Linked DNA regions of Alligator mississippiensis. The main gene of each other region encodes a partner of the protein of the gene in region 2 in a complex. Links are inferred from orthologs where the notes say so. Each region holds a gene or a part of one and is shown on either strand. Other genes may lie near its edges. The genes, in order: ARL6 and BBS7.

Region 1 (9,825 bases), on a different chromosome or scaffold from region 2:
CGTGTACATGTGCAAATAATGCAGGATCAGTTTACTCTAAACCGCCTCTACTTGTGCAGAGATGCGAGAGCAGATTTACTGCTCCTGGCAGCAGTCTGATCTCAGTCCCTGTAGCCCTGCACCAAGCACCTTTCGCCACCAGGAGCTGAAGGCTCTAGCTGCAGCTGCCTGTGGCCAGCAGTTGTCTTCAAAAGGCAACCCCATACCCCCTATCTGGCAACCCCCTATCTGGTCAGCCACTTTTCTGGACAGAAGCAGCATGCGGCAGCTGTCACTGCAGCCTCTGCCTCCCTGCACCAGGGCTGCTTCACCACCCAGCCCTGGAAGGGACATCCAGTGCCCCCTTGCCCTGGCTCACCATGCCGTCCCAGGCCTCCTCACTGCCACACAACTGCCGCCCAGACCCCGTCCTGTCACATGAGTCTTGATGGCGTGGCAGGAAAGCCCCTGCTGCCCCACAACCTCCGTTGCCACCTGGAGGGTTCCCTGTGGCTGTACTACATGTCCCTGTCCCCCAGCAGCCACGGAGCACATTGCCACCAGCATCAACACATTCCTGGGATGTGAGAGGCCCATGCCCACTTAGCTGTGGAGGCACAGGCTGCTCAATAAGGTTTTGCACTGTTTCCTGCCTCCCTGTGTGCTGTTGGGGGAGGGGAACCTGGGGCCAGGGGAGTGCGGCCAGGCCTGGTGGGGAAGCGGGACAGGGCAGGGATGGCCCTCTCCCCATTGTGGGGCTTATGATGTGGATGTGGCAGGCATGCCCGGCAGCCTGGGTCAATCCCTGCTGGCGGTGAGGACATGCAGTTCCTGGCAGCGTCCTAGGGTATAGGGCCATGGCATCTAGCTGCATGGGCAGAGGCCCTCTCCAGGGAGAAGCTAGAGCTGCTGGTGGTGCCATGGTTGCCCTGGCCTTGTGGGCAACCATGGCACCACCATGGGGCTGAGGCCGCGGAGCTGGCAGGGCAAGAGCTGGCCCAGGCTCCCAGAGCTGCTCGACAATGTTGGGGGTGGGGAGTGTCGTGGGATGGCCCCCTGGCAGGTCAGGGGGGCCCTCCCCCAGTGCCAGGTCACCCTGGTGAAGCTGGACTGAGAGGAGGCTTGAGCAAGCCGCCTGTACTGGAACAGGTGGCACAGCTGCGGCCAAGGTCCCAGGGAGTGAGGATCTCATCCAGCTGCCGCATAAAGGGCATGGACTTGTGGACAGCCCCCACCTGGCAGCTGTGGTCAGTGACCGTGACCCACTGTGCCCACAAGACTTAGACCTTTGTGTGACACTGACATGCTAACTGGTTGTGTCCGTGCTCCCAAATGTGACCTGACAGCCCTTTGTAAAGTGTGCATGTTGGATCAACTGCTCCATGCAAACTTGCTGAGGACCTCAGACTTGTCCCGCAGCACCACAAGGTCTGCAGTCTCTTCCTGGGACCAGTTGGGGCCCTAGGAGGTGGCATGAGCCTTTAGGCTTTGGCCAGGGAGGATGCCAGAATGGCTCCCACGATGGCTTGCTGAGCCTCCATGTGCCAGTCCTGGTGCTGCCAGGCCTGGCCATGGGTGTGCAGTGCAGTGCAGGGGCACAGTGTAGGACAGGCTGGTGCATGGGCCAGGCAGTGCCAAGCACCAGGTGCAGGGTCCAGGCAGGCTGCTGTGGGTAACCTGGGGCTAGCTGGAGTGGGACCCAGTGGCCACAAGCTGGCTGCAGGTAGCCCCAGGTGCTCCCAGGCCTTGCAGGTGCCTGCAGCTCCCTGTGCAGCTAGATGGGGTAACCTTGGCAATATGGTGCTAGGGAGTAGCACTGGGGTGTTGGCAGGCTGCTGCAGCTGCCCTGGGGTCTGTCCTGGGGGAAATGGTGGCCAGCAGAGGTCACAGCAAGTGTCCCTGGGTCCCAGTGTCCCTGCAGGCTCTTAAGGGCCTGGGGCTGTGGTAGGAATAGAGCTGACTCAGCCCTGGGGCAGGAGAGGCTTCCAGCCCTAGGGCTAGGCTGAGGCTGGCCTTCTAGTGGTGAGGCTGACCAGGATCAAATTTGTTCCCGGTCAGCATCTACATGTTTGCTACTGCGCAATAAGTAATTGCAAACAAAATTTGCTACTTGTATTTACAGGTAGCAAATGCACTCACAAATAGTGCAAACAATTCTGCAGTAAGCGTCTGCATATGTATACAGTGATGCTTACTGTGCAGTAATTTGTGCTAATCTTGAGTAAAGCATCTCATGTAGATGCGCCCACAGTAAAAGAAGCTTGTTTTGTAGGACCTCACAGCATTTGCTACAGAGTTGGAAGTGCATTAGGTACAGGGCCACTGGATGAGAAAGGGTACTTTCAGGGTCAGATCAAAAGATCGCTACCTCATGCCCGTGGCAGATGTTATATTTACTGTGCGATTAACATGAGAATTGCATGATAAACAGTAACATGCCAGAAGTTCATTTTATCATGTGATAAAAAAGCAGCCTCACCTCAGAGAAGTTATTTGTTGAATGTGGAACTTCTCTGCACTGTTATCATGCATGTTACCTAGAAAGTTAACTTTGCCTTTGCCAGAGAATGTTTAAGTGATGTCAGACAAGTTATTTAACTGTACCTTGTTGCAAAAGGTCACCAACTTCATATTGGAGTTTGGGGCACCAACTTTATTGGCAGAAACAATGAGAACTCACAGCTTCAACTGTAGTTGATGGAACACCTACTTGGACCATAAAACTTGCTACCTAACACTAATTATGTTGCTTTTCCCCACTTGAATTGGCAAATTAACCAGAGATTATTGCAGGCAGATTTCCCCAAATTGATAAGGAAGGAGAATAGCAGACTCAGCTATGACTTCAGTCACTGATGGGCAGGACATCTCAGAGCAGGCGCCCCAAATGGGCATTTAAATGTCTCTGTGCCTCTAGCACCCATGACCAAGATGGTAATAACCATCACCTCCCTGGGTTATCCTGAGGATAAAAATCATTGTGTGTAAGGTGCTCAGATACTGTGAATAGCACAGAACGAAATTTGAGTAGGGCAACATTCAAGGTGCTCCCATTAAAGGGAGAACAAACACAGGCACACAAGATGGGGTGGGGTGAGACAGGGGCTGACTTGAGAGGAGTCAACAGTCGCATGCACAAAATGAAAAAAAGAGAAGGCAACTGTGGGCCATATTAACAGAAGTATGCTAGGCAAGGCAAGGGAATGGCTTGGCCTCCGCTGAAGGACCACATTATAACTTGCAGGCTCTCTGCAGTGGAAGAAGACTGTATAGAAACCGAAGAGGATCCACAAGGATGCAGAAGAGAAAGGATCAAGGGGCTGGAAAGCTGGGTGGGGAGGGGAGGCAGAGAGACCTGGAACTAGCCAGCGTGGGAAGTTTAAAGGAGAGGCTGCTGTGGGGGCACCTGTGGCTGTGCAGGTCTGTAGGCATTTGTGTGGGTCTGTGTCTGTGGGCATGTGTCTGAGGGGGTCTGCGTGGCAATCTGTCTGTGTGCACATCTATGTGTGTGTCTGTGTTTGAGGGCATCTGGGTGGCTCTCTGTGGGTGTCTATGCAGGGGTCTGTGGGGCTGTCTGTAGAAGTCTGTGGGCACATCAGTTCTGTGGGCACCTGTGTGGGTGTCTGTGGACATGTCTATGTGGGTGTTTGGGGCACGCCTATGTCCAGGTGGGCAGCTGTGGGGTCTCTCCGGCTGTCGGCATGGGTCTGTGTGGGGCTGCTTGTGGGCGCCTGGGCCTGCGCCCACGCGGATTTGCGGGCAGCGGCGTGGTTGCCCGCCCCGCGGCTCGGCCCGGGATGGTGAGGGGGGCAGGCCGGGCGAGTGCGAGGGAGCCGCCAGCGCAGCGCAGCGCCCTGGGGCCGAGACTGAGCGCAGGCGGCGGCGGCACCGGGCAGCTTCGCACCCATCCCTCCCCCCGCGGGGGCCGGTAACGGTCAGCAGGGGCCGGCCCACGGGAGAAGGGGAACAAACCCCAGCGCGCGCCCCTCGCCCTCGCCCTCACACTCACACTCACCACACTCGCCGCCGCCGCCTGCGTCGTTACCTAGGAGACTACGCCGCTGCCTTGCCTTAAGCCCCGCCCCTTGACGCGACGCGCTTCTCCCCGTCTCTCGCCTTGCCTGCAAGCCCCGCCCCTTCCTCGAAGCTCGCGGTTACAGGCAGTAGTCCCGCCGTGGTCCCAAGCACCTCTATACTCACAGCTAATCGCCGTTGAGGCGTTGTGTGCCTGTGCTGCAGGAGGGGCGTCTGGGGCTGGAGCTGGACCTGGTGGGAAGCTCTGCTTCTGAAGAAGTCTGTTTGCGCCCAAAAGCTTGCAACGAAGAATTTTTCCAATTATTTTAGTTGGTTCCATAAAAGATACCGGGTTTACCCAAAGAACTTTGTCGGCCTCTAAGGCTAGCAGCACGCCCCTTCCTTTGGTCCTGGGCTCCACCAGCGAGAGGCCAACTCTGTGCTGCCCCACCTGAAGTCCCCACATGAAGTCCGCTTGCTCATGGTGGCTTATTGCAAGCTGCCTGGGTAAAGGACTGTGCCCCACCGCCCTTGTTTTCATGCGAGTCAAATCAGTCCCGGGTTCAACCCCACATCTGTTCTTAGACAAGCATCCAGTGTTAAGCTTGCCAGCGCTATGGGGAGGGAAGTGGTGAGCCACCCAGTGATGCACACCAGCTTGCATAGAGGCAGGGGGAGGGGAGAATTGCATGCTCGGTTTGAGGGGAGCAGGGCAAAAGCTAGACTTTTGGCTGCCCCTGTGCCAGGCCCCAGCTGCCAGAGGTGAGCAGCTTTCAGGTCTATAAATGAGAGCACAGGTGTCCTGGAAGCTCCGTGTTAAGAGGGGGAGTAGCCACAGTGTTCCCTTGTCCCTCCCTGGCTGGTGCTCAGTGTCTGAGGGGAGACTGAACAGACGAATAGCATCTAGGGAAAAACAGTGATATGCTGTGGTAACTCCAGACTAGCCACGGTGGAGAAGAAGACTTAAACCTACAGCATGCAGGCAAAGACAGCCTGTGTGTGTGACACGTGGAAAGTTTCCTTCTTCCAGGATGAGCAACTTAAAAGTACAGCTTTTTTTCCTGGACGTTGTACAAATACCACTGAGTTTCCACATCTAAGGTGTTGTTGGTTGTAGCCGTGTTGGCTTAAGAATGGAGGCAGACAAGGTGCTTTGCGTAGATGGGATATCTTTTATTAGACCAACTAAATAGTTGGAAAAATTCTTTAGAAACGATGATTAGTGGTATGGGGGGGAGGGCTTCCATATGAGTAGAGACTAAAGAGGCTAGGACTGTTCAGTTTAGGAAAGAGACATTTGAGTGGGCACATGATAAGCATTTACAAAATACTAAATGCCAAAGAGAAAGTAAATAGGGATTTATTATTTGCTCTCTCTCACAATACAAGAACTAGGGGTCATAAAATGAAACTAGTAGCTAGGGGCATGTTAACATGAGACGTTCACTGTGCAGTTGACTGATTAAATGCTCCGTAAAGATCTCAGAGCCTCTCTGTGTGCCCCTATTACGGCACACAAAGCAAATTAACAGGTTAGGACTTGTAACCTGCTGCAGAGTCTTTCCATGTGCAGCAGCTCACATGTAGACACTGTCCCGGTTTGCTGGGATACAAGGGTGCTTTGGTGTGGGGCTAGCCAGCGGGCAGCCCCTGCACTGAAGCACCCTCATGACTCGGTGAGCCCCTCCACAGCACATGGATCCCCATTGGAGCAGCCAGCCCTGGGCTGCCTGCCAGCTAGCCCCACAGTGAAGCACCTTCATGCCTCAGCCAGCTGCTCTGCAGCACATGGAGGCCTGTTGGACCAGTCCTTGGCTGGCACTCTGACCCCCTGGGTTCCCTGCCAGCCTGGGTTGCTCCAACTGGGTTCTATGTGCTACACATGAATAAACTCTGGAGAAACATATTCTGGATTTTTTTGCTCCCAGGTACAGATTCAAACAGTGTACCTGGGAGCAAAAAACTCTGGACCAATAAGCTCTGGGGTTTCTTTGTGTTCATTAGTCGCATGTGTAGATGTGTCTAGTAAATTTAAAACTAACAGAGGAAAGCTGTTTTTTACACAGGATGTAATTAAAGTGTAGAACTCATTGCCATCAGAAGTTGTGGAAGCTGACAGTTTAGCCAGATTCAAAAAGGGATTGGACAAATTCTTGGAGGAAAGGGGCATTAGTAGCTACTGAGCATGGGGGTTAGGGGTGCAGCCTGTGAATCAGAACTTCCTAGACCTTAAATGCTGGAGGTTGCAACTGAGAGTGGAACAGTGGAAAAAACCTTGGACATATCTAGTTCACTCTCCCTTTCAGCATCCACTCCCTACCACAGTGTGACACAGGATACCGGACAAGATGGACATATTGTCTGACCTAGTATATGGCAGTTCTTACATTTTATGTGAAGCCCACAGACCTTTGGGGTTCTTTTAATTTTCTTTTCTGTTAGGTTTTCAGAGTTATTCGTTTGGGGGGGTGTCACATATTCATGCTCCCGTCTGCAACTGGGAGGGCCAATCGCTGTGTTTTAATGGAAGTTGATATTCACCCATAATGACTTCATTTAGGAAGCTGAGGTATTAAAAAAGGAACCATCATGATGAGCCTCGTGAAAAGATCACAGGAGCTGGTAACAACGTAAAACCTAATCAGCATATGGGCTAAGTTTAAGTGCAAGAGAAATTTTCCTGGTTTCCAGATTAAAGTTAGTCTGCATCTATATTTCCGTACACACAGAAGAAAAAAAATGGGACCAAAGGCCTCACTGCAATCAGAACTTCTAAGGCAAAGCTCACTTTGTTCATTCTGCTTCATGGGTCAAATCCTACAGCCCTTATTCTAGGAATTTTCCTGGTTTAGGACTGCCAGTTTAGCTGTAGAAACCCAGCATCCCATTCCTTAGTTACATCACTACATTTTATACTGCATATACAAGAAGTTCTTACTTTTACCTTTCAAGTTTTTGGAGACAGGGACTGAGTATTTTGTTTGCATTTTACCAGTTATAAAGCAGTGTGTATAGCTGTGGCATTTTCTGAATAATAAGGCAATAACTATATTCAAGTTATATTTGTTAGTGATTAATCCTGCTGCCATTGTGCTGCTGGAAAGTCATGTCTGTCCTGCTATTTGAGTGAAGGGGGGTCACGAATAGCATTTGTTAGTGTAAACCTGTTCTCAAAGACCTAGGTTATGTAGGCTCACCAATATTATAGAGCAGGGCTGTTCAATCAGCAGCCCCCATTAGGTTAAGATGCAGCCCCTGGTTTCTGCCTGGCTGCTGCCCCTCCTTCCCACTGCTGTTGCAGCCAGTCTCCAGTCTCCCTCTCCTCCCTCCAGCTTCTGTTGACTACCCCTGCCCCAAGAGACACGGCAGTGAGCTGAGGGTGAGCCTGGAGCTGCAGGCACAGTTAGTTTACTATACATCTGGGTTTTCCTCTTTTTGGGTCCTCCCATCTCTGTCCAGGCAGTTTTTTTTAATTTAAAAAAATGTCTGGGATTTTGCTCTGCTCAGCTTCATAGTTTCTCCTGGCACTTCCTAGCTTGACCTAGCAAAGAGCTGTTTGGGGCTGGGGGGAGCAGTGGGTGTCATGTGCATCTGTATGCACACATGCATGCAGTCTGCATGCAGCCAGGCAAGGTGGTGGGAGAAGCCCTGGCATCTGCATGCAGGTAGGTTTATGGGGTCAGGGTTGGAGGGCCAGGGCTTGGGGATTGTCCAGAGGACTGTGTGTATATGTGTGCATGTGTGTGTATGTGCATGCATACGACAGGGTATGTGGAGGGGGTAGGTGTGTGAGGGGAGGCAGGAGGCGGGTGCCTGCCAACACTGGGGGAAGCTGTCTGGGTGTTGGGACTGCAGCAGGGCTTGGGGGATGTGCCTGCCCCATTAGTGGGGAAAACTGGGCGAGGACCCCTTGGGGCCATCAGGAAGCTGTGTTGCCAGGTTGGTGGCACCAGGGCTGGTGCCCTTGTTTGCAGGGCCAGGGCAGCTAGGAGATGCTTCAGGGCTGGGGAGAGCAGGGGGATGCAGGTTGGGAGTGATAGACACCAGCAGGGCTGGAGAGGCTGTGGCTTGGGAGTGAGGGGTAGGGGCAGGGGCATATCATTGCCCCCCACAATCATATTATACCCCCTCCCCCCACAGGTGTCCCTTTTTTTTGAAACTGGAAATATGGTAACTGTAGGCACACAGTGTAACAGGGGCGGAGGGGGCGGGGAGCATACATGGTGCAGTCAGTGTGGGAAGAGGCCCCATGCAGTGTGTGGCCTGGGGTTCACCCTAGCATGGCCATGGGTGTGTGGCCTGCACAGCCAATGGCCCCAGGCTACATAGAAAATGGACAGCCCTGTTACAGAGCTTTAATAGCATACTGAAAAAGTATTCCAATGAAGATAAGTAGTGTTTCTTATGCAGGAGATTGTATGTTATGGAAATAGAGCCTACTGATTGCTGCAGTTTGAGCATCATTATTGTATGCATAGTTCTCTAATAACATTATCAACAATATGCGTACTTTGTAAAGACATTTATCTGAGCACAAAATTTATATGGAAAGGTATACAAGAGTCCACTCTAGTAATGCATCTCCTGCTATAAGGAAAAAGAAACCCCCCACCCTGAAGTATCTCAAAACATGGAATGCAGTGCTGATCCATCTTTATTAGAACACCTTAATATGTTAGGCAACTGTGTTTTTTCCCCCTCAGGGTCATGTATGACAGGCTGCGCTGCATAGCATATGCATAAATTAAGGTACAATAAAAAGCATCAACTCAAACATAACCACCAGTACTGTAACTTTTATTTGCTAATAAATATCTTAATAAACAGGCTTACCGCATCTGTAAGCCCTGATAATGCCTCTTAGGAAATCATAGAAAAATAAAATACAATAATAATCAGTAACTTGTACTTTGTACAAAAATCTTATTATGTTGCTCAGCAGGTAGCTTTGCCAAACCCCATATTCTTTCCACAAATAGATGGCATATGTAATGCAATTCATCTTAAAAACCCCCTAGTTTTGAGAGCTGAGCGTTCTATTACACTATCAACTTGTAGGCATGCCAGCACATGGAAATTTACATGGAACATCATATTATCATCATAATAGATTTTTTTTTCAAAAAAGGGAAATAATACCACCTTCAAGTAAATGTGAACAACTTCACTTCTAATGTAAAGTAGGTAGGTTCCTACATTCCCCTTGGGATTGCACCTTGCAAACTTAAACTTTTTATTTCACAATTATTCCTCTTGCATGATTTTAAGTTGACCAAAAGAGAGAAAACAAAATGCATTTGGAACATATATGGGAGGCAGATAGCACGAAGAAAGCTTGTTTTAAATTGTGAGGCATTCCCAAGAGGAAAACACCTATGCCAGTTGTAAAATGTTCAGTTTCTCAGAAACAGTAGATCTTACTTTCTGTTTATAGTACCGTGCACAACATTGTTCAGTGTTTAGAATCAATGGTACAGTACCCAGGAACCCTTTTGTATGGAATGAAGGTGAAGATTTTAGATACAGGTAGTTGTCAATAGTTGAATATATCTCTGTAAGAGGAAAGGAAGCAATGGCAAAATACAAGTGTTAATTGTAACACTAAATACAAGTGTAAGTGCTGAGGCCACTGTTTACTTGTAAAATATTTTGCAAATCAGATTATACTGCAACTTTAGAAGCCATCTACCTTTAAAGATTTGACTTGGCTGTTTAAATAGCCTAAAGTGTCTGTCATCAAATATATATTTATATATACACATACATTGATACATTTTATGGCTATGCTAGAATAGCAAACTATGAATAGCAGTCATATTTCATTGTGTACAA
Region 2 (10,556 bases):
CCAGCTCCAACCTTGTGATCCTCTGCCCTGGTAATGTCTTGAACACTGGCTATGAAAGTCAATAAGGAAAGTGACATTTAAGTATCTAAATATTGCACTTACAATCTTCTTTTAATTCAGAAGACACCAAATCCACTTCAGGACACTAAGCATCATTCCAGTGATTTCCATAACATGCACCTAGTTAAATCTTATTATTAATCTCATGTCTCTGTAATATCAAATAAGATATCAGTCTTTAATAAGTTAACTTTATTTTCTGAAAAGGTTACATAAAGAAGATATGAGAGTTAACTACTATTTATCCATATAATATGTGCAGTACAATCAGCAGCAGTGCAAGCTTCCTAATAGTACCCCACTAAAATACTACGTTCTTATTCCAGGGGAATGACCTCTAGTAATGAGAAATCTTTCTTTCCATGGTCATAGAATTCTTTTCAATTAGCCAGAAGGTCAACCAAGATACATGTCATTATAGTTGTTTAAGTAAGCTGGACATCTGTCCACAAGTCTAAGGCTTCTGAAATGTAATTAGCTTACACAAGTCACTTAAATATTAAATGTCACTTTAAGTCACAATGTATATTCTGGGATAAAACCACTAACATAGGATGTTCAGCTTTGTATCTTAATGTATCTTCATTACCTTTCTCCTCTCCTCAACCCCAGCTGGCTTTTAATTGCTATTATGTACACTATTCATAGTTTCATAGCTGGTAGGGTCGGAAGGGACCTAACCAATCATCTAGTCCACCCCCTGCCATGGGTAGGAAAGGATGCTGGGGTCAAATGACCCCAGCTAGGTGGCTATCTAGCCTCCTTTTGAAGACCCCCAGGGTAGGGGCAAGCATCACTTTCCTTGGAAGTTGCTTCCAGCTCCTAGCCGCCCTGACAGTGAAGTAGTGCCTCCTGATTGGGAATGGATTAAAAAAAACCTACATACCACAAACAATCACATTAACTACATAAATAGCTGAACTTACCATAGCTTCTCCTTTTTTGATGCCAAAACATGTAATTACGCCATCATGATCTCCAATAACAACCTTAAAAATATAACGTGTAAGTAGCTTAATTATTTTTGCATTCCTCCTATAGATATTTTTAAAAGGAAGAATTTTCTTTATATTAGTTATGTGGATCTGTAGCACAGAAAGTAACCATTACCAAACACCACACTAAGTGATGTTAATAAGGCATGACAGGGCACTTTATAAAGACTAATACAGTCCTATAATTCAGGAATCTAATATTTAACAATTATTTTACTACCATAAGTTAATAATATTTTTTTTTCAAAATTGTTGATTGAAGTCCAGCTATCACTCAACAGAAACGTTCAAAAGCATTTTGGGGGAAAAAAAAGGTTTTCCTGTGTTTGACGGTATTATTTCTTTGTTACCAAAAATTTACGAAAGAAAATACATCATTGCTTCTCCAGAGTTTGCCTGTTCCAATATTCTCTTTCCACAAAGAAATCATAAACCTGTAGTTACAAGAACATTTTGTTAAAAGCTCTCATGTTCCATAATGGTTCTTAGCTAATAACATCAAACAAACAACAGCCCAAAAAGCCCACCAAACAAACAAGGGTATCAGCAAATCTTTAAACAGCATGAACTGGGAGAAAATGTGTTCAATTTCCCAAGTAGAGGTCAAAAGATAATCTGTACTGCATTGATAACATTAATCTGTAAGAAAAAACAAAACGAACAATTTAGAAACAACAAACTCTTCACTTCTAGAAAATCACTACCTTCTGTGTTGCCCTACGTCCTGATGCTGGCAGGAGCCTCATTGTCTTCTGAGATGTCACTCCCACCTATTTGAAAAAAATCACCACATTATGGAAAACATTCCAATTTCTACACTTCAAAAAAAAAAGTCTTAGGGATAACATTTTCTTGTTATATACATTGTGGAGAATATTCTATTTAACCAGAGTTATACAACAGGTGAGCTGGGACTACCTGAACGCTGAACCCTAATATTCTACGACATAGAACTCACAGATATATTTAAATGTCACCTTTAAACACTGTACACCTTTAACCTCTGTACTTTCTCCATCCTTTTTATTCTACATTTTTCATGTATTGGTGTTTGTAAAAGTACCAGCCTTTTTAACAGCTCTGGAGACTATTTCCAGATATGTGGCACACACATTTATCCACAAATTCAAGACTGCTTGCACAACAGAAAAGATGTGCCATAATTCTGATACAGAAAGACTTGTCATAGTAGACTGGTCAACTACTTGAAAGCTGCATTGCTTTGCATTTGCTGAACAAATCTAATTACCAGTTTTGGCAACTGTTTTAGTCTGCTTCCAGACCTTAAAAAAACAAAACAAAAGCACACTTTACCAGAAGCAGCAGCACGTTACTCTAACCTGGCTCTGCAGTGTTGTTATAGATTGGGTGTTTTTGGCACTTTTAGCTAAAACTGATTCAATCAACTACTAGATAAAAATGCCCAAAAGCCCCACTAAAGTGTACACAACCTATACAGAGGTTGGGTGAGCCAGGTCCAGCTAACGCACTCTCTCTTCCCGGCACATGCTGGGCTCAGTGCAGGAGCATGCCAAGTTTAAAGTAAAATGCCACTTTTTTATTTTTTAAACATCTTCAAGCAGCCTTAGACATGTGAATTCCTGTCCCATTGACAACTTTTTGAAGTTGATAAATAAACAAGCATAAACAGATTTAATACTTGAAAGAATCAAATCATTAAAAGATGGTTATTAATGAGCTGCGATCCTGGTTTTCTCTGTTTAAAAATCACAAATTCTCCAATTTAAAAACCAAAAACAAATTCTCTGATTAAAAAATGAAAATCCACATTTTTTCTGAGATAAAATGAAACGCCACTTATACCTATATCTATAAATAAAAGTGATGTTTCATATATATATGGCATTTATATATATAAAAGTGGCATTTCATTTTTATCTATATATCTATATACACATATCAGTTGAACACAGTGTTTTATTGATATAGTTACAATTTTAAAGCAATTTAGAAGCCTAACAGTGCCTCAATCGTTATAATAAAATAAATTACAAGTACCCATTTATTTTGGTGTTCGATTTTGGTTTTTGTACCATTGAAAATCAGAGCTCTGCCTGCCCCCTTTGCTCACCAGGACACAGGTTCAGTTGTATCTGTAACTCCTGCAAATTTGTGGTGCTGAGCAACCCTGATATGCCAGTGCCCTGACCAAACTGTTGCCTCTCACTCCCAGCCCATAGCTTCCTGGCCCTGCCAGTGCCCCTCACTCCTGACTCTCAGCCATCCCAGCCCTGTTCTAGTGTTTTACTACCCTCCTAGTGAGAAAGTTCTTCCTAATATCTAACCTAAACGTCCCTTGCTGCAACTCGAGACCGCTGCTCCTTGTTCTGTGATCTGCCACCATTGAGAACAGTCTAGCTCCATCCTCTTTCAAACCCCACTTCAGGCAGTTGAAAGCTGCTATTAAGGCCCCTCTCAGTCTTCTCTTCTCCAGACTAAATAATGCCAGTTCCCTCAGTCTCTCTTCACAAGTCATGTGTTCCAGGCTCAGAACCATTTTCATTGCCCAGCTTGACCACATCCTTTCTGTAGCAGGGGCCCAAAACTGGACACCGGACTCCAGGCACAGCCTCCCCAGTGCCAAGCAAAGAGGAAGAGTCCCACTGCACTACCCACCCCGCCCAGCTGCAAGCTCAAGTGTTGCTGCACCTCATGGGGCTCACCCCCATGCCCAGCAGCAGCACAAAGGGCTGATATGCCAGTGCCCTGCCCTTGTCCATGCTGTTGCTCCTCACTCCCAAGCCACAGCCCACCCCAACCCTGCTGGTCCACAGCCCCCTTCCAGATCCTACTTTGCAATAATCCTATGACGATGCAGACGGCCTAAAACAATAGATCCAGCAAGTACAAACTGAACAAGGTCCCTCCAGGGACTGTAACTCCAACTTCTGCTATTCTGGATGGGGAAGGAGAAGCTGTGAGCAGGCAAGGGGTGGTTAATGATGCTATCACTGCTGCCAAGTTGACTGCTGATCCTATAAAGCAAGTGGCAGCATAAGAAAAATCAAATCATGGTGTCCGGGAGAAGTCGGGCTGGAAGAGACCTCCTTCCCCTGCCTAAGGAAGGACCATCCCTCTCCAACCCATCCCCTAATAAACCACGATCTAAACTCTGCACAAGCCTACAGGAAACCCTGCCAACACCACGCAGCCCCAACACCCTGCCAGAGCCGAGGTGCCACAGCAGCCAAACGCCTGCTCCTACGAAACACTGTCAACGTAGGCTCAGGAGATCCCGCCCGGGCCCCAGCTACGGAGGGAGGCAAAACCCCCCACAGCCCGAACCGATCCGGCCATGGCATTCAAACTCCTCCCTGGCCACAAATCTGGCAGCCTGTCAGTCGGACCTCAGCAGAGGAGCCCGACCCTGTAGCCAGGACCCTCCAGCCTGGGCCCCAGCAAGAGCGCTGGCATCGCCCAGTCAAAAACCCTCCAACCCGCGCCGGACGCAGCAGCGAAGAGCTCTGCCCCGCCGGGCAGCGCGGGGCGGGGGCTGGTTTCGTGGGTCACCTGCACGTAATCCACGCGGGCCAGAGCCAGGGCCAGGCCCAGCTCCATGGCGACGGCGGCGGCGGAGGCTTCCCCGGGCCCCTCAGCTCAGGCCCGGAGGTGGTGGCGCTAGTTACCATGGAAACACGACGAAAGACGGGGAGGGGACCTTAAACCGGCCTCGGATTGGGCAGGGAGAGGGGGGGGCGGGCATGCAACGTGCTGCGGGATTGGATAAAGCATCGCTCCAAACGTGCCTTGCATTGGGCAGGGCGAGGGGGCAAGTATGAAACGTGCTGTGGGATTGGTTAAAGCGTCACGCCCGCTGTATGGAGTGCTGTGGGTTTTCCCAGCTGGGCGGCCTGTCACTTGATTCCCCGCGAGGAACCGCGCGGGGCGTGTGCGTGCGGCGGGGCCGGGGCCGGGCTGCTGCTACCGGGTGTTTCTCTTCTCCACCAGCCGGGGGCAGCTCGGAGCTGCGTCTTCTGAGCGGCGCCCTGAATCTCGCAAGGGTTCCCGGAGCCTGGCAAGGTCGAGAGCCACCGGGTTAGGCAGACGGACAGAGAAAAGGAAAGGGCGTTGTGACTGTTGACATCGGTGAAACTGCTGGGTTAGAAAGAAAGGGAGGGAAGGAAAGAAAGAAAGAAAGAAAGAAAGAAAGAAAGAAAGAAAGAAAGAAAGAAACGAGAGAGGAAGGGCGGGCTTTGTGACTTGAGACCTGTGCCCACAGCGGAGGGCCCGCAGCCACGTGCTGCGCTGCATGGAGACAGTGCTGCAAAGGGAGGTTGCAAAGTCAAGGGCGAGTCGGGAAATGCATCTTTAATACGCTCCCTGATGAGTTTGCATGAGAACCTCAGCTTAGCACCCCCCGCCCCTCTCCACCACCTCATTCACTGCACGGTGTAAGCAGCTAATTCAGGATTTAATTTAATTTCCATGGTGCCACATTTTATTTACTGTAGTAAACCTCATCCGTGCCCAGGATTGCTGCCTTATTAAGTTCCATCTGGGGGGTTTCATACGGAGCTCGTCATCATTATAGTGTCTTGAGGTTTCTCCCAATCATTCTCTTAGCTTCTCATGGCCTCTGTGAGGCAGTATTGAATCTTTTTTGTGGGTGGGGATGAAAGGCCTAGCAAGAATCTTGTGAAACGGGCCCATGAAGTTTGAATGCTAGGTTTGAGGGGCCTTGGTATTTTTCAGGTATTTTTTCAGTGGCTTATGTGTTCAGAACAGGGCTTTCATTGTATGTTCAGCATTTCTGAAAATCAGATCCAAGACATTTAATGTTATCCACTCCCACTGAAGATGAGGAACACATGTAAAAAAAAATAAAATAAAAAAAAAAAAATTTACCCAGCATCATGTAGGAACTTTTTGTATGTATCTATGTATATAGTATTATTTAATTAATAATAATATCATAATATACTTAAATAATATATAAATATCTGCCCAGCATCACGTGTGTGTATATGTAAGTTTCCATTAGGCAAAAATAACTATTATCTATTATAATTTTATATTATAAAATGTCTGGCTTGCGTGGAAATATCGAGCAGTTCAAGTCTGGCAAAGTTCATTGATAAAAATAGTCCTATAATAGGAAACATCAGGTAACCTTAATTGTAGACACCACAAGTGCTGCCTATATTTGACTGCTGTACAGTTTTACCATGCAGTCCAAAATCTGGTTCTGGACTATTGGGACCAGGTAAGGAGTCATTTAAATATGAATTTTTTTATTTAACAAGTAAGCATCAGAGGCATCATTTAGAACAGTGTAACAAAATACCAGCTCTGCATAGAATCTGAATTTAAAAAAATCATCTCTACCACATGAAAGTGTAGCTTTTGACAGTTCACATTACATTCAAAAGTTGCTTTGTTTAAAAAAAGGATCTCTAGGCCCCAGCATTGAAAGCAAACAGTCTGCCATATTATGAAACAAACTACAGTATTTGTATGTTAAACAGTGTTGTTAAAATTATATTCAGACTTTGATATCTATTTTTAAACTTTCAAGTGCCTATTCTTCAACTATAACTCTTAGCATTGATAAAAGACATTTGAGCAATCCTTTACCATGGCCCACCTGGTTATTCCTTGTATAGTATATCTTGCTCATACCAGTTGTTTCAGGGAATAGCGTACTATGCAGTGCATTCTGTAGATTTTATTTATGTTTCTTTGTTTTGTTTTTGCAAATTGTAAAGTGCAAATAATTTTCAAAGTTTGTTCATAAAACTGTTGAAATACAGCAATGAAATAATTCTTCAGATACATTTGTACTCTCCTGCTGAATAAATGCAAACAATGTCATGAGAGTTCTTACATTTCAGTACATTTAAAATGAACAGAGTATTTTTGTGTGGTAAATTAATAAAATTTCCTAAGGTTAAATTTCAAAGAAGCTCTACATAAAGTTATTTAGTGCTAAAAATCTACAATATATTTTTCAAGTATAAGATACTCAGAAATATTATTGCCAATAAACAGTTGTGCTGTAGTTGAAGCCAAGGATCATTTCTAGAATCATTCACATCTCAACATATTGGGGTTTAGTTTCTCACTGAGTTTATGTATTAGGATTGCAAGTTCTTCTGTTGCTTGGGACTTGTCCTCCAAAAGTTCATAGCGAAGACTGGAGATATCTTGTTTGATTTCCTTTAGTTCACCTATATCAATTAATGAAGGGAATATTTTAAGCATTGTTTATCAAACACTCACTACATGAAATTTTGTTGTCAAAGCAATGCATGTTTCAGAACTATTTTTACCCAGACGCCCGTAAGTACACTGGAATTTCAATAATTCAGTGAAACATAGTGACACTGTACTTTGTACGTACAAAGAGCATGTTAGCGTCTCAAAGTGTTTTGCAAATGTTAACGAATAATCATAGCAACACTGCTGAGAGGCTGGTAAGTATTAGTATCCCCATTTTAGAAAGAAGCAGCAAGGCATGACTTGCTAAGGTCTCACAGAAAAAGTGTGGCAGAGCTGGCCACACTTGCAACTCACATCTCTTGAGACTGTCCTCTTCAATAACACACACATCCTTAGAAACAGAAAAATTCAGTATTTTTAAATTGTTGCTACAATTTGCCAAAGTACTGACACAGCACTTCAATTGAAACCTTCATGATCAAAAAGTGTCTAGATTAATCATCAACAACAACACTCATTTATTGAAGAGCACTCAGTTCAAGGATGGAATCTTTCTTGGGTTCATTCTTCTCCCAGCCATGAATTCTGATCATTCTTATGTGCTACCCAACAGGAAACTGTTTGATGTGTGTTGTGTAGGGTATAAAATAAGACCTATGCTGTTCTGTTATATGGTTTACTTTAAAATTAAGTGGACTCCCCAGATTCCTATACTTGCAAGAATCATAATACTTAGCAATTATAGATGGTTTTCTATTCATAACATACTCAGTGCTTTACATCTCACATGCTTCAAAACCCAGAATTAAACTTCACAATATATGAGGTAAATATGGCACAATGTATATTATCTCTATATTATATCTGAAGAATTGGAAGTTTTAGCTCAGACAAGTTGCCCAGGGTCACTCAAGGAGAATCAGTGAAAAAGCTGAGACCACAAGTAGGTCTCCTGACTTGGTTCAGGGTTCTGAATACTTGATCTAAACTCCATAGGCAGATACATGATCAAGCAAATCGTTCCAGAAGATTTGTGCTTTCTCAAGAATTTTGGTGACAAAGCACTATCCTTTTGTCACATCTCTCCTGCTTTGCAGAAGATATGTCTGTATGTACATACCAAATTCCAAAAAATACCAAAATGAGATTATACCTTTAGTTTTCTTGATACAACTACTGACATATAGGCATCTGGTTAAAAATGCCCACTTGAACTATACACTGTGTTTGTTATTTTTGTACAACTCTTTGCAACTTCTAGCCGGTCAGCACCTGTGGGACTTATTAGTTCAATGACAGGACACACCAAGAGTTGTCTGTTTAATTACTGCTAGAATTTGGGGCTTAAATGTTTTCAAATATTTTATCTTTATCCTTCATCAGTATTTTACTGGTTCTCAAACATACTGAAATTCCTGTCGATTAAAAAATATTATAGATGGTATATAGTAGCAATTTATTTTCAAGCCTAATAGGAGAGCAGCTCTTCAATTGTTTAAGATTTAAGATACTTAAAGATCTGTCTGATCATTTTGCAGAGAACTCTGGACTACAGATGAACTGTGACCACAGCTTCTCTCTTCTCAGCATACCACATAGCTAGTTTGACGTCGTTCTATCAGAGACATGGAACTTTAGAGCTGAATGTGATTTCAGCATGGTTTTATGGAGGAGAGGAAACAAATCATACACATGATACAATACCACCTGTTCAGCTGAGATGAAATGGAGAGAAAAGGTGGTCTTATGGCTGAAGTATTAGACCAAAAGAGCTGAGTCCATTTCTTTGCTCCATCACAGACTTCCTGCATGACTTTGGGCAAATTACTTAACCTTTTCAGTTCCCGTATTGTCCCAATGGGGACAATAATACTTCCTTTCTTCCCATCTTTATCCATCTTGTCCACTGACACTATATATGCTGTGTAGCAAATACTATCTCTCACTTCATATTTGTGCTAAGTGCACCTAGTAAAATAAATAATAGTATGGTTCTCCATAACAGTATCAGAAAGTGTTGTTTACAATGTCTCTCACCTTCATTTACTTCATCATTTTCTTTGTCCACTTGTGCTTTCAAAACATAACGTTTTATAAGTCTTTTCATGATTTGCTGTTGGATAAAAATCATTATATAATCAGTTAAGCATTTAGACAAACTTCATCCTATTCACTAAAATTCTTCAGCAAGCCTGTAAAAGCCAAGAGGTCAACACTATCTTTGCTTTTGGTGGGACAAGCAGTAGTATAATGAAGTGTTGGGGGAGGAGGGGAAGGGCACCAGGCCCAGGTACACTGCCAACCCTAGGTGGGGGAAGGGAGAGGTACAAAAAGAGTGGAGCTACACTGCCAGTCCAGCCTCTTCCACTACTGCTGCCACTGTCACATCCCCGGCAGTGCAGTCACTGACACTGCCCCATGCCTGGCTACTGCCCAGGGGGCTCAAGCAGCCAGTTGCACCTCTGAGACAAACTAATGCAGCATAATTCCTTCCTCATCCACTTACCTCTCATCTATAGCTCAGCCCAAGAAGCATCTTAATGGGAGATGTGCAGAACTTATGAAAACATTTTCAGGAAATTGTTGCTTCAAACAGTTTCAAAGATGCAACAAAAATTTTTCATACCTAAATCATGTAACACTTCCAATGTTCTTGTGATTTTTCTGGAAAGCCATATTTATTTGAAAATGTGTTGATTTTTTAAAATGGAAAACACTTAAAATTTTGCAAAATTTGCAAAGAGGGTAATATTGCTTTTTTACCACAAAATGCCCAAGTCTTCCAAAATAAAAATATTTTCCATTAAATTGCAAACAAGGTACTAACCTCTTGTTCAACTTATCTACAGCACATACTCTGTATGTTGGCAGTCATAACTAGCCTTTCCATTCACACATTCCTTATGAGTTGCCTTCCCCATCCTTTACTTATTAAGGTCTCGTACTACCACTTTGTGCCACAATAACTGTGTCACTGCACATAACCTGCAATTTAGAGGACTTGCAACCTTCCTCAGGGCTGTAAAGCTGCTCTTTACTGATCAGACGACAAAATGCATTATATGCTGAATAGGCTGTTGAGAGGTGATTCATAAATTTGAACTAGCTGTAGATAATACCTGTAAAATTATCTGAAAAATATATTGCCCAATATCCACACAAGCTTATATAGTTATTTCACCTTATAGGTCAATCAGCTGCACTTGGTAAAAGAGCCAAGTGTTGCTTGAAAAGAACTGCAGGATTTAGCAATAATGTCCTACGCACAGGTCATTTCCCAGGGATTAATGGCTAGATGGGGTTGTTATCATCAGCTCCTTC

Evidence for each region.
Region 1: the proteins of BBS7 (region 2) and ARL6 are in contact, whole or in part, in a cryo-EM structure (PDB 6VBV), measured with the Bos taurus proteins. The link is inferred for Alligator mississippiensis from reciprocal best matches to the Homo sapiens genes BBS7 and ARL6. Residues at the interface, in NP_001178275.2 of Bos taurus: Leu3, Ile249, Val250, Gly251, Asp300, Gly301, Tyr302, Asp303, Thr319, Glu320, Pro321, His323, Lys324, Glu325, Ser326, Gly327, Pro328; in NP_001069250.1 of Bos taurus: Met132, Asp133, Arg135, Thr139, Ser140, Val141, Ser144, Trp157, His158, Ile159, Cys160, Ala161, Asp163, Lys166.

What each region holds. Positions count from the first base shown.
Region 1 is NC_081824.1:266,179,373-266,189,197, reverse strand, and holds the start of ARL6 (ADP-ribosylation factor-like protein 6), read right to left. Parts: upstream 4,062-9,825; 5' UTR 3,995-4,061; intron 1-3,994. UniProt on the Homo sapiens protein: Involved in membrane protein trafficking at the base of the ciliary organelle. Mediates recruitment onto plasma membrane of the BBSome complex which would constitute a coat complex required for sorting of specific membrane proteins to the primary cilia.
Region 2 is NC_081825.1:114,624,764-114,635,319, forward strand, and holds the start of BBS7 (Bardet-Biedl syndrome 7 protein), read right to left. Parts: upstream 4,703-10,556; 5' UTR 4,635-4,702; coding exon 4,587-4,634; intron 1,826-4,586; coding exon 1,760-1,825; intron 1,050-1,759; coding exon 987-1,049; intron 50-986; coding exon 1-49. Other genes in the region: TRPC3 (short transient receptor potential channel 3), read right to left, coding at 7,101-7,243, 9,273-9,348.